2 linked regions of the Yarrowia lipolytica genome follow. The protein of the gene in region 1 interacts with the protein of each later gene in a pairwise test. Links are inferred from orthologs where the notes say so. Each region holds a gene or a part of one and is shown on either strand. Other genes may lie near its edges.

The links.
Region 2: the proteins of YALI1_E29235g (region 1) and YALI1_B19044g interact in binary tests that used the Saccharomyces cerevisiae proteins (3 or more experiments, as listed by UniProt). The link is inferred for Yarrowia lipolytica from reciprocal best matches to the Saccharomyces cerevisiae genes YPL150W and NAP1.

What each region holds. Positions count from the first base shown.
Region 1 is NC_090774.1:2,921,755-2,926,697, reverse strand, and holds YALI1_E29235g (uncharacterized protein), read right to left. Parts: upstream 3,216-4,943; coding exon 804-3,215; downstream 1-803. Other genes in the region: YALI1_E29263g (uncharacterized protein), read right to left, coding at 1-364; YALI1_E29221g (uncharacterized protein), read left to right, coding at 4,554-4,943. UniProt on the Saccharomyces cerevisiae protein: Putative serine/threonine-protein kinase.
Region 2 is NC_090771.1:1,902,565-1,906,264, forward strand, and holds YALI1_B19044g (uncharacterized protein), read right to left. Parts: upstream 1,908-3,700; coding exon 636-1,907; downstream 1-635. UniProt on the Saccharomyces cerevisiae protein: Acidic protein, which assembles histones into an octamer (in vitro). Involved in the regulation of the localization and the function of the septins during mitosis. Involved in the function of B-type cyclins.

The sequences.
Region 1 (4,943 bases):
TCTCCGTCTGTTTCCTGACTTTGCGCGAGAACTGTCGGCTCATTTGGTCCACCCGTTTCAGCAGCGCCACATGCCGATTGAGACTCAGTTGGAATGAGTCACGTGACGGCCGCAATTCTTCCACGAGTTTGTTGTATTTGTGCTTCAGATCCCGAGTAGCTTCTATGCATTGTTCTTTTGTAGATGGAACAGCGAGAACAGGAGTGGTCAGAGCTTGCTCCAGCTGTTCGGCGTAGTGTTTTGAAAGTCGCTCACCCTTCTGTTTGAGATCCTGACCAATTTCTTCGGTAGAGGTCCACACCAAGTCCACGATCTCGACCAGACTCAGCTCTTTTGTATCACTTTTACGGGTATCCATGCTCATGATGAGTTTGTTGAGATAACTCAAGCTTCGATCATTAGCAGGAGAGTTTGACGATGAGGTGAGGATAACATGTTCGGTCTAACTTGACCAAAGAAGCTCGTATCGAAATAATAACAGCTTCCTTGTGATACTCCAATGCTTCTTATTCGATTTCAGCTTTAAAATTCTGAAATACCTACTATTATGCCCCACATCTCTCCCCCCACCAACTCCATGCGGCTCATTTAAACTCACCCCACAATCTAATGATAGGCAAAAAAAAAAAAAAAAAAAAAAAAAAAAAAAAAAGACACTGCGGGAATCTCCTTACTGTTGATAACTACAAGTACGCGCAATCTGCTGTTCAATAATAAATAACTGTTACGTAATATCTGGTCCGTTTTTGCACCGTCCATGAATGGGTTGTATGTGTCCTGGCCAGTATGCTCGCATCTTCAGTCTAGAAACTCCTGCCCCTTGTGTCAAAGTCCAGCCCATCACCATCGTCTCCGTCAAAGCTCTCCTCCACATACTCGTCTTCGACCTCCTCTTCAATCACAGAACCCTTTCTATCGGGACGCTTAGAATTGGTGGGACGAGACCGACTGGGAAACAGAGCCATGTTGGGTGAAGACACCTTGGTGGCCGACTTGCGTCGCCGGCTGGGCGGCTTGTATGTGTTAAACTGCGCCGTTTCGTTATAATCGTGCTGCTTCGAATGAGCCTTTTTGTTGCTTGTCGAGTGACGTCCATAAGAGGTGGTGGGTGTTTCTGAGGGCCCCGGAGAGCCGGGATCGGTTGTATCGTCTCCCAAATACTCGTCTGTAGAAGACGTGGAGGATGCCTTGGAATGTGTTTTTCGATGGGATTGGATCGAAGAAAACGACGAGGAGGTAGAGCGACGGCCAAAGTAAGGTCTTCGCATGACAATGCGTCTGCTTCCCGAGCCAGATCGTTCTAGAGAAGACGAAACGGAAGGCGCCGATGAAATGGCAGAGATGCCGGAGATTTGAGAGATACCAGAGAAGGAAGAAATCTGCGAGATTGGTCGTTCTCGACGGGTAGTTCTTCGGAAAGATGTCATAGGCTCGATATTGTCCTGGCTGTTGAGAGAGGTGAGTCCAGGTGCACTTTGTGGTAGTGGAGGTACGTCTGGAACGGTTTCTGTCGGTGCGATGCCCTCCTCTAGGGAGGTGTTGGACTTGTTTTTGATGCTGTAGGAGTGTAGAGACGAGGGGAGGGATCTTCCAGTGCCGGAAGACTGACTAGGCTCCGACTGGGTATTACCCTCAGTTGTGGGTTTCTTTTTGCCAATGAAGACCATTTTGAGCATGACATTCTTGAGAGACTTGCCAAAGTTGCCCTTCTTTTTGAGAGAAGAGCCGTCAGATGTCACAGAGCGGTTATCAAACGGAGAGGCCTGCAATCGGGGACTTTCGCCAACCGTATGTGGTCTCTCGAGTGTCACAGACGTGTCTGGAGTGTTGGTGGCCGTGTCTCTCGGTGATCTGGGAGAGTCAGGAGCAGGAGGAGAAGTCATGGCTTCACCTGTGGTAGTGGATCTATGGGGCGGTCTGAAATCAAGGGACTGTCTGGGGGTCGACACTTGTTCACTGGACGGTCTTCTAAAGTCTCCAGACAGTCTGTTTCTGATTCCTAGGCCGTCGAAGTGCCGTACTTTTGATAAGGGAGAAGAAGGGGAATGAGGAGCGGTCATTTGCATTGAGTCTCCGATATTCTCTTCCGACGGCCGCTTTCGAGCGATATCAAACGAGTATGAGAAGGCCGACCTTGATCTTCTTCGCGACTGCTTGCGTCGCTCCTTTTTGTATGCTTTTTCCAACGATGCAGCCCAGAACCCGGCCAGAGAGTCGCATTTCATCTTGGATACGGACTCGTAGAGGTTCTCAATGCTAATATTGAGCGCCTTCATGCGTTTCAATACATGTTTTTCCATCTTGGTTGAAAACAGCTTGGGTTCTTTAGCTGCCAGCATTTCAGCCTGCCGCATACCCTCCAGACCCAAAAAGCCGTTGTTCAGCACCTCAGCGAGCTTGGGTCGCTGATGAGGGTTCTTGCAAAGCATTCCTTTAAGCAAAGCCAACATATCTGCCGGCAATTGGTGTTTGGCATAGTCCGGTTCGGCGTTCATGATGCGGTTTTTCGTGTCCTCCTCGTCCTCCTCGTCAAACGGCATTTCGCCACATACCAGGGCGTACAGAATGACTCCCAGAGACCACACGTCGACAGCTTCTCCGCTGTACTTTTTGCCCAGCAGCATTTCAGGAGCCATGTAGGCAGAAGTGCCACAAATAGTTTCCAGCATGACTCGTGACTCGTATCCTCGTGTGAATCCAAAGTCGCACAGCTTGACGTTATGGTGTCTGTCCAACAGAATGTTTTCGAGCTTGAGGTCTCTATGGACGCAATTTTTGGTGTTGTGGACGTAGGTGACAGCTCCACACAGTTGTGCAAATATTTTGCGGGTCTCGTCGACAGACAGTCGTCCGTTTTCCACCAGATAGGTGTACAGCTCGTCTCCCGGACAGTACTCGAGCACCATCCAGACCACCGTCTCCGTGACGATAATCTCGTGGAGACGAGTGATATGAGGGTGTTTGAACTGCCGGTGATGGTGAATCTCTCGCACAAGGTTGGGGGCGCTCTTGGCTGACGACTTGAGTACCACCTTGGTGTTGGTGAACTTGTGCGTCGCCAAATACACCTTGCCAAACGAGCCCTGCCCAATGAGCCGAACCACATTGTAGTTGCCGATCACCTTGAGCTCGGTAGCGTGGAAATGGTCCAGCAGCGCGTTGTATGACTCGGACAGCTGAGCCTTGGCATTGTTGATGCGGGCCTTGTCTGCCATTGTCACGCTGGAGAGGTCTGAGCAGCGAGTTTGGTCGGTCGTTTCAGTCGCGGTTACGCTTCACCACATACATGCAACATAGCCTATCTTGTACCTGCACCTTTACGTAATGTCAACATCAGGGGGGAGGGTTCTTTTAGGGGTAAATGTGCGGGGGTTAGGGTAGTAAAGTCAATCTGGAGAATATTTCAGATGTTTATAGCAGATCTGCGAAATATTTTTACGGAAATACCAGCTCGAACACTTCTTTAGACAACCCTCTTCTCGGGCTACCTAGAAACACGAGTCAAAACCAGTGAGCCAAAACACGCTTGAGTTGGGACATGAAGGATAGAGTTGTTCTTCCAACTGCAACCGAACGGAGTGTTTCGAGTGGGTGTTTTCTAGCAGATAAAAGTATGGTGAGGGGATGTTTTTACAGCGGAAATCAAGTTCTGTGTGTTGGTTTCATCTACCGTCAAATTTTCAGACCCTCATCTGCTCCTGAACCCCGGTAATTTCCCACCGTCGCTTAATCTCGCTTATTTACGAGTGCGTCACACAAGTGAGATGAGTTTTCGAGGGGAAAATATATGGTGATAGGTGGGTATTTTTGCGTAGATGGGGTTTCCAATCTCGGTTTATATGATTTCCCGTTGGTTCGGACTGATGCCGTTGTTCTGGACTGTTCTGGTAGCTGCTCTGTGTTCAGGTGGTATGTGCAATAGTATGAGTACAGCATGTACTTGTAGTTACTTGTACGCACGTCTCAGACTACATGTAGGGTGACAACATACAGCCTGTCATGTCCGTATTATTGGACAAGAAGCCATTCTTCTAATTTCGATTGACTTATTATCCAATCTATAGATCCAGACCCCTGGACTTGTACCGGTACCTCTAACTGTTCGGAATATCGAGAGAGTCCCCTTATTCCTTCTTCTACACCAAGTCCAGACCCCTGAGAGTTGTTTTGGTGGCGGGAGAATCATCCAGGAAGAACACCAGCAGTATTTTGGACTCACTAAAAAAAGATGAATTGCTTGTGAGAATCTTCAAATGCCAAGATCCACCCATCAACTTGACTTTCTCCTTACAGTACATGACACATCTCTCTGATAGGTTCAAAAGTGACCGGATAGATCTGATATTATGCCTGTGTTCTCAAAAAGCTACTTCTAACATACTCAAAACTTTGTATTCTAGTTATCTCCCCCCCCTAGTCCATTTTACACCAACATCACCAAATCCCTTCGACTCCTCATAAAGTTAACCTCCCAGGCTGCATCATTATGCGTCTCATCATGTCCCTAACGAAATAAATTATTCACAACCAACACACAACACTGGCGACACAAAATGGATCTTGACACCGTCACATACACCATTGCATGTCGATCTGTGGCTCCGAAGGACGTGGTATTCGCAGCTCTAGAGCTCTGTGCACAAGTAGCTCCGGGGTACATTTGGTACCGAGACTCGTTCACACTTGACATTTCGTCTCCAAACACAGTTTCTGGTTCCACGACCTTTGGGCCTGCCCTGGACGACGAATGGCTGGTGGTATACATTCTTTACCGTCTTACCTTACAGCTTCCCGTCAGTGTGCATGTGAGTGATTCTGATGGCGACTTTCTGTTGATTGAGGCGGCCCATGTGATTCCATCCTGGATAGAGCCTGAGACCGCCGAGGGGCGTCTGTGGATCAAAAACGGACAGTTTGAGCTCATTCCGCGGTCACAATTTAAC
Region 2 (3,700 bases), on another chromosome or scaffold:
GATGCCAGATAGGGTCACTCTGCTTTGCTATGGTGTGATGATAGTATTGAACAGGTAACAGACAGTACAAAACTGCGATATTTGGACAACAAAACTAAAAGTAACGGTGACCAAAAAATAATAATACAAGAAAACCACCGCTATCTATCCCCACTTGAATAAAAAGCACGTAGCCAAGCCATTGGTTGCAGTTATATTCGCTTGCATTTGCCCCCACCAATTTGAAAAGGCCTTCATTATTACAAAGCCAATGTGGGAAATTGGTGCCATTGTGTACAATACAGTATCGTAGCTACTGCACCGTTATACAAGTTCAAAAAGTAGCTACTTGTACCAGTACTCGTAGCCGGGAACTCCTCAAATGCATAATATTACAGCTACATTTCGTTCAATAAATACTGTACAGTCGTTAGAGCGCCATACTACTCGCGGTCTCCGGTCCCGCTGTAGCAACTGTTAAATGTTACCTTCGAGCTACTTGGACAATTATGCCTTCGAGCTACAACCAGTACGTACTGTCTGAGCTACTTGTATTGCCCATACGGTACATAGTCATGTATCGTCCTCAAAATATTTTCATATAATCAACACTATATCATGCGTGTAACCACGCGTCTTATTTAGTATGTTACTCCTTAAGATTGTTTGCACTCCTGGGCCTCCTTCTTGCCTCCCTCCTCGTCGTCCTCATCATCATCGTCGTCATCATCCTCATCCTCATCGTCGTCCTCATCCTCAAACTCGCCCATGTCACCATGCTCCATCTCCATCTCCAGAGCAAATCCGGTGAACCAGTCGACGGCTCGGGGAATGAGCTGCTCCTTGATTTCCTCACCAATCTGGTAGTCAAGCTGCAGAGCATTGTCTCGCTCCTCATGGTCAACCTCCTCGTCCTCGTCCTCTTCCTCCTCATCCAGGGCCTTGGGCGGGCTGAAGAAGGTGAAGAAAGACTCAGTGGGGACGGCCTTCTCCACGATTCGGGTGGCCTTGGTGTGCTTGTTTCGCTGCTTTCGCTTGGTGATCTCCATGGTCAGGTTCTGCTCAGGCGACTTCCAGTCGATCTCTTCACCCTCGGCGTGGTCGTACATGAGCTCACCGGTGTCAGACACCTTGTCGAGGTAGAAATACGACTTCTTGAGCTGCTTGTTGGTGAAGAACTCGTTCTCGGCGAAGTCAAAGATGAGCACAAAGCCAGGCTTGTCGTCGAGATACTCCATTCGCACATTCATGAGCGACTTGAGAGCCTCGCTATCTCGCTCGGAAATGAGACCGGAGGCACCGGGCAGGTTCTGGATGGCGGTGAGCCAGAAGTAGGGAATACCCTTGGCATCGGACTTATCATCACCCTCCTTCTCCTCTTCTTCGTCCTTTGCATCCTCGTCCTCCTCGTCCTCATCCTCCTCAACATCGTCTCCGTCGACACCAAACATTCGCTCCATTCGCTCCTGTTCGTATTTCTTACCGGCCTCAACCTGCTCCTCAGATACCTCCTTCTCGCCACCAATGACGGCGGCTCGTTCGGCGTAGATGGGGGCAAACTTGGCCTGGAACTTTCGCTCCAGTTCCAGCATCTCCTTGTGGAACTCGTCCTCCACCACGGAGGCCTGCTGGTGCAGGGCCTTGAGACCATCGATTCGTCGTCGCACAGCCAGAGGCAGAGAATCGACGTAGCCCGAAGAAGTACCGGCCATCTGGTTGAGTCGACCGGCAAGATGGGACAGCAGAGCGGGGTCTCGGCTCAGAGCTCCGAGGTCGACCTCCCCCTGACCATCCTCAGCAATTGTAGACACTCCAGGGTTGGCGGCTCGCTGGAGGAAAGATGAGGCGTTGGAGGCCGGGGTGTTCTGAGGGGTGGGGGCAATGCTGGACAGCTGCTCGATTCGCTTGGACTTGATGGGTTCGCTCATGATTATTTGAGTGCACTAGGTGTGTGGTGAGGTATGTGTCTGTGTGCAGACTGGTGGGTGTGTGGAAAAAATCTAAAGCAGCTGCGGGTGGTCTGTTGGAACAAGTATCCCAATTGGAGTTTATTTGGCTAAAAGGCAGGGTAGAGCTAAACAGGTGCGGGAGAGGAGATGGAGGAGGACAAACAGCAATCGGTTAAAAAGACGAAAAGCATGGCATGTATCCTGATTAATAACCTGTACTTCTACAGTCTCTTCCCCATTGACCTACTGAATTGAGAATTGAGCGTCTGACTGGTCATACGTACGTGTGTTCTTTTCTACGATACCTGCGCGCCCATATGTATCCTCATTCACCCCTGTGCACACAACGTCCAGCACCTGACGACAGACTCACACCAATCTCCAGAGCACGTTATTCGGACGTCGTGGTTATTGATTATTCAGGTTTCTGGGGTAGCTGTGACAATGCACCTAATATTAGGGGTAGTTTCTAGAACTTGACTGCCTGCTGTTTCGGAGACAAGTGTGCCTGCACTCTGCCAGTACAAAGCCTTCCTCCTGCTGCTGGTCCTGCCTTGTTTGGTGCCTGACCTGTGCGTACATTACATTTTTTTTTCAATTCTCTCTTCGAAGTCCATCTTCAACCGTGCGGTGCGGCGTCTTTTTTCGCCACTGTCCTCTTCTTTGGCTGCTGTCCCCAACCTTGGCAAGCAGACCAAGGGTTAATCTCAAAATGAAATCCGCGGCACCACAGGGAAGGAAGGGGTACAGTAGTGTGTACAGTAGTGGCGATACGACGTAGATTGTTGACGACCGACTGAAATCAATTGTGTGTGTAGACTCTCTTGTGGGTAGTTGCATACGTCACAGTTGTCAAAATGTTGTTTGCAGGACAATTCACGTATTACTCACACAAGCACTTGTTTTTACGTTGGTACTCTTTTAACGGTTGCATGTCCTAAACTGGGGTACGCTGTGGGTGACAGATTACCCCATCCCGCGAAGCCACGATGCAGTAGAAGTGATCGTAGACATCAACCAGGAAGCTACAAGTACGAGTAGAATCAAGAGATACGGTCTCAATTTGCCACCTCGCTACCGTGACTCATCATGAGTCATGCTTACCTCCGACGATTGCAGACAATGCCGACTCCCATCTATCTTTGATGGCCATAAACCCATGGCATAAACTCGGACCCAACGGATCCACGCATATTCGAAACCAAGCCTCCAGGTCCCAACCCCAATTGACTCAACACGTGCTGTGGAGTGACAGAAACACAACAGTGGTCGTCAAGTGCCATCGTGGCAGAACATTGGCCAGTGTGACGACAATCTGTTAATATGCACGTGATAAGCTAACTACTTGTAGGACTATCTCTTATACTTTCCATAACGATCACACTACGATACGATACTATCATATTGTCCAGTACAAGTGCTTGTAATTACTGTAGGTCTTGTTCCAAATAACCCACAATGCTCCCATGAGACACGACTCATCACCGTTAAGGTATGATTGCTATCTTCCGTTTCCCCGCTTCTTCCATTGCTCAGTGACGGATGAAGGATGAACCTTGACTCCACACGAAGTGGAAGGAATGATCACTTGAGCTGGAAGGCAGGATCCAAAAACTGGGGTAACGAAACGAAGGACATAACATACAGTACATTATCGTACCTGACACAGAACAACTACAATTATTGACCTACTTGTACTTGTACGACATGTGTGTGTGATCATATCAAGATATAGGTAATTGCTGCAGCATAGGTTTCTCTGGAACTCTGGA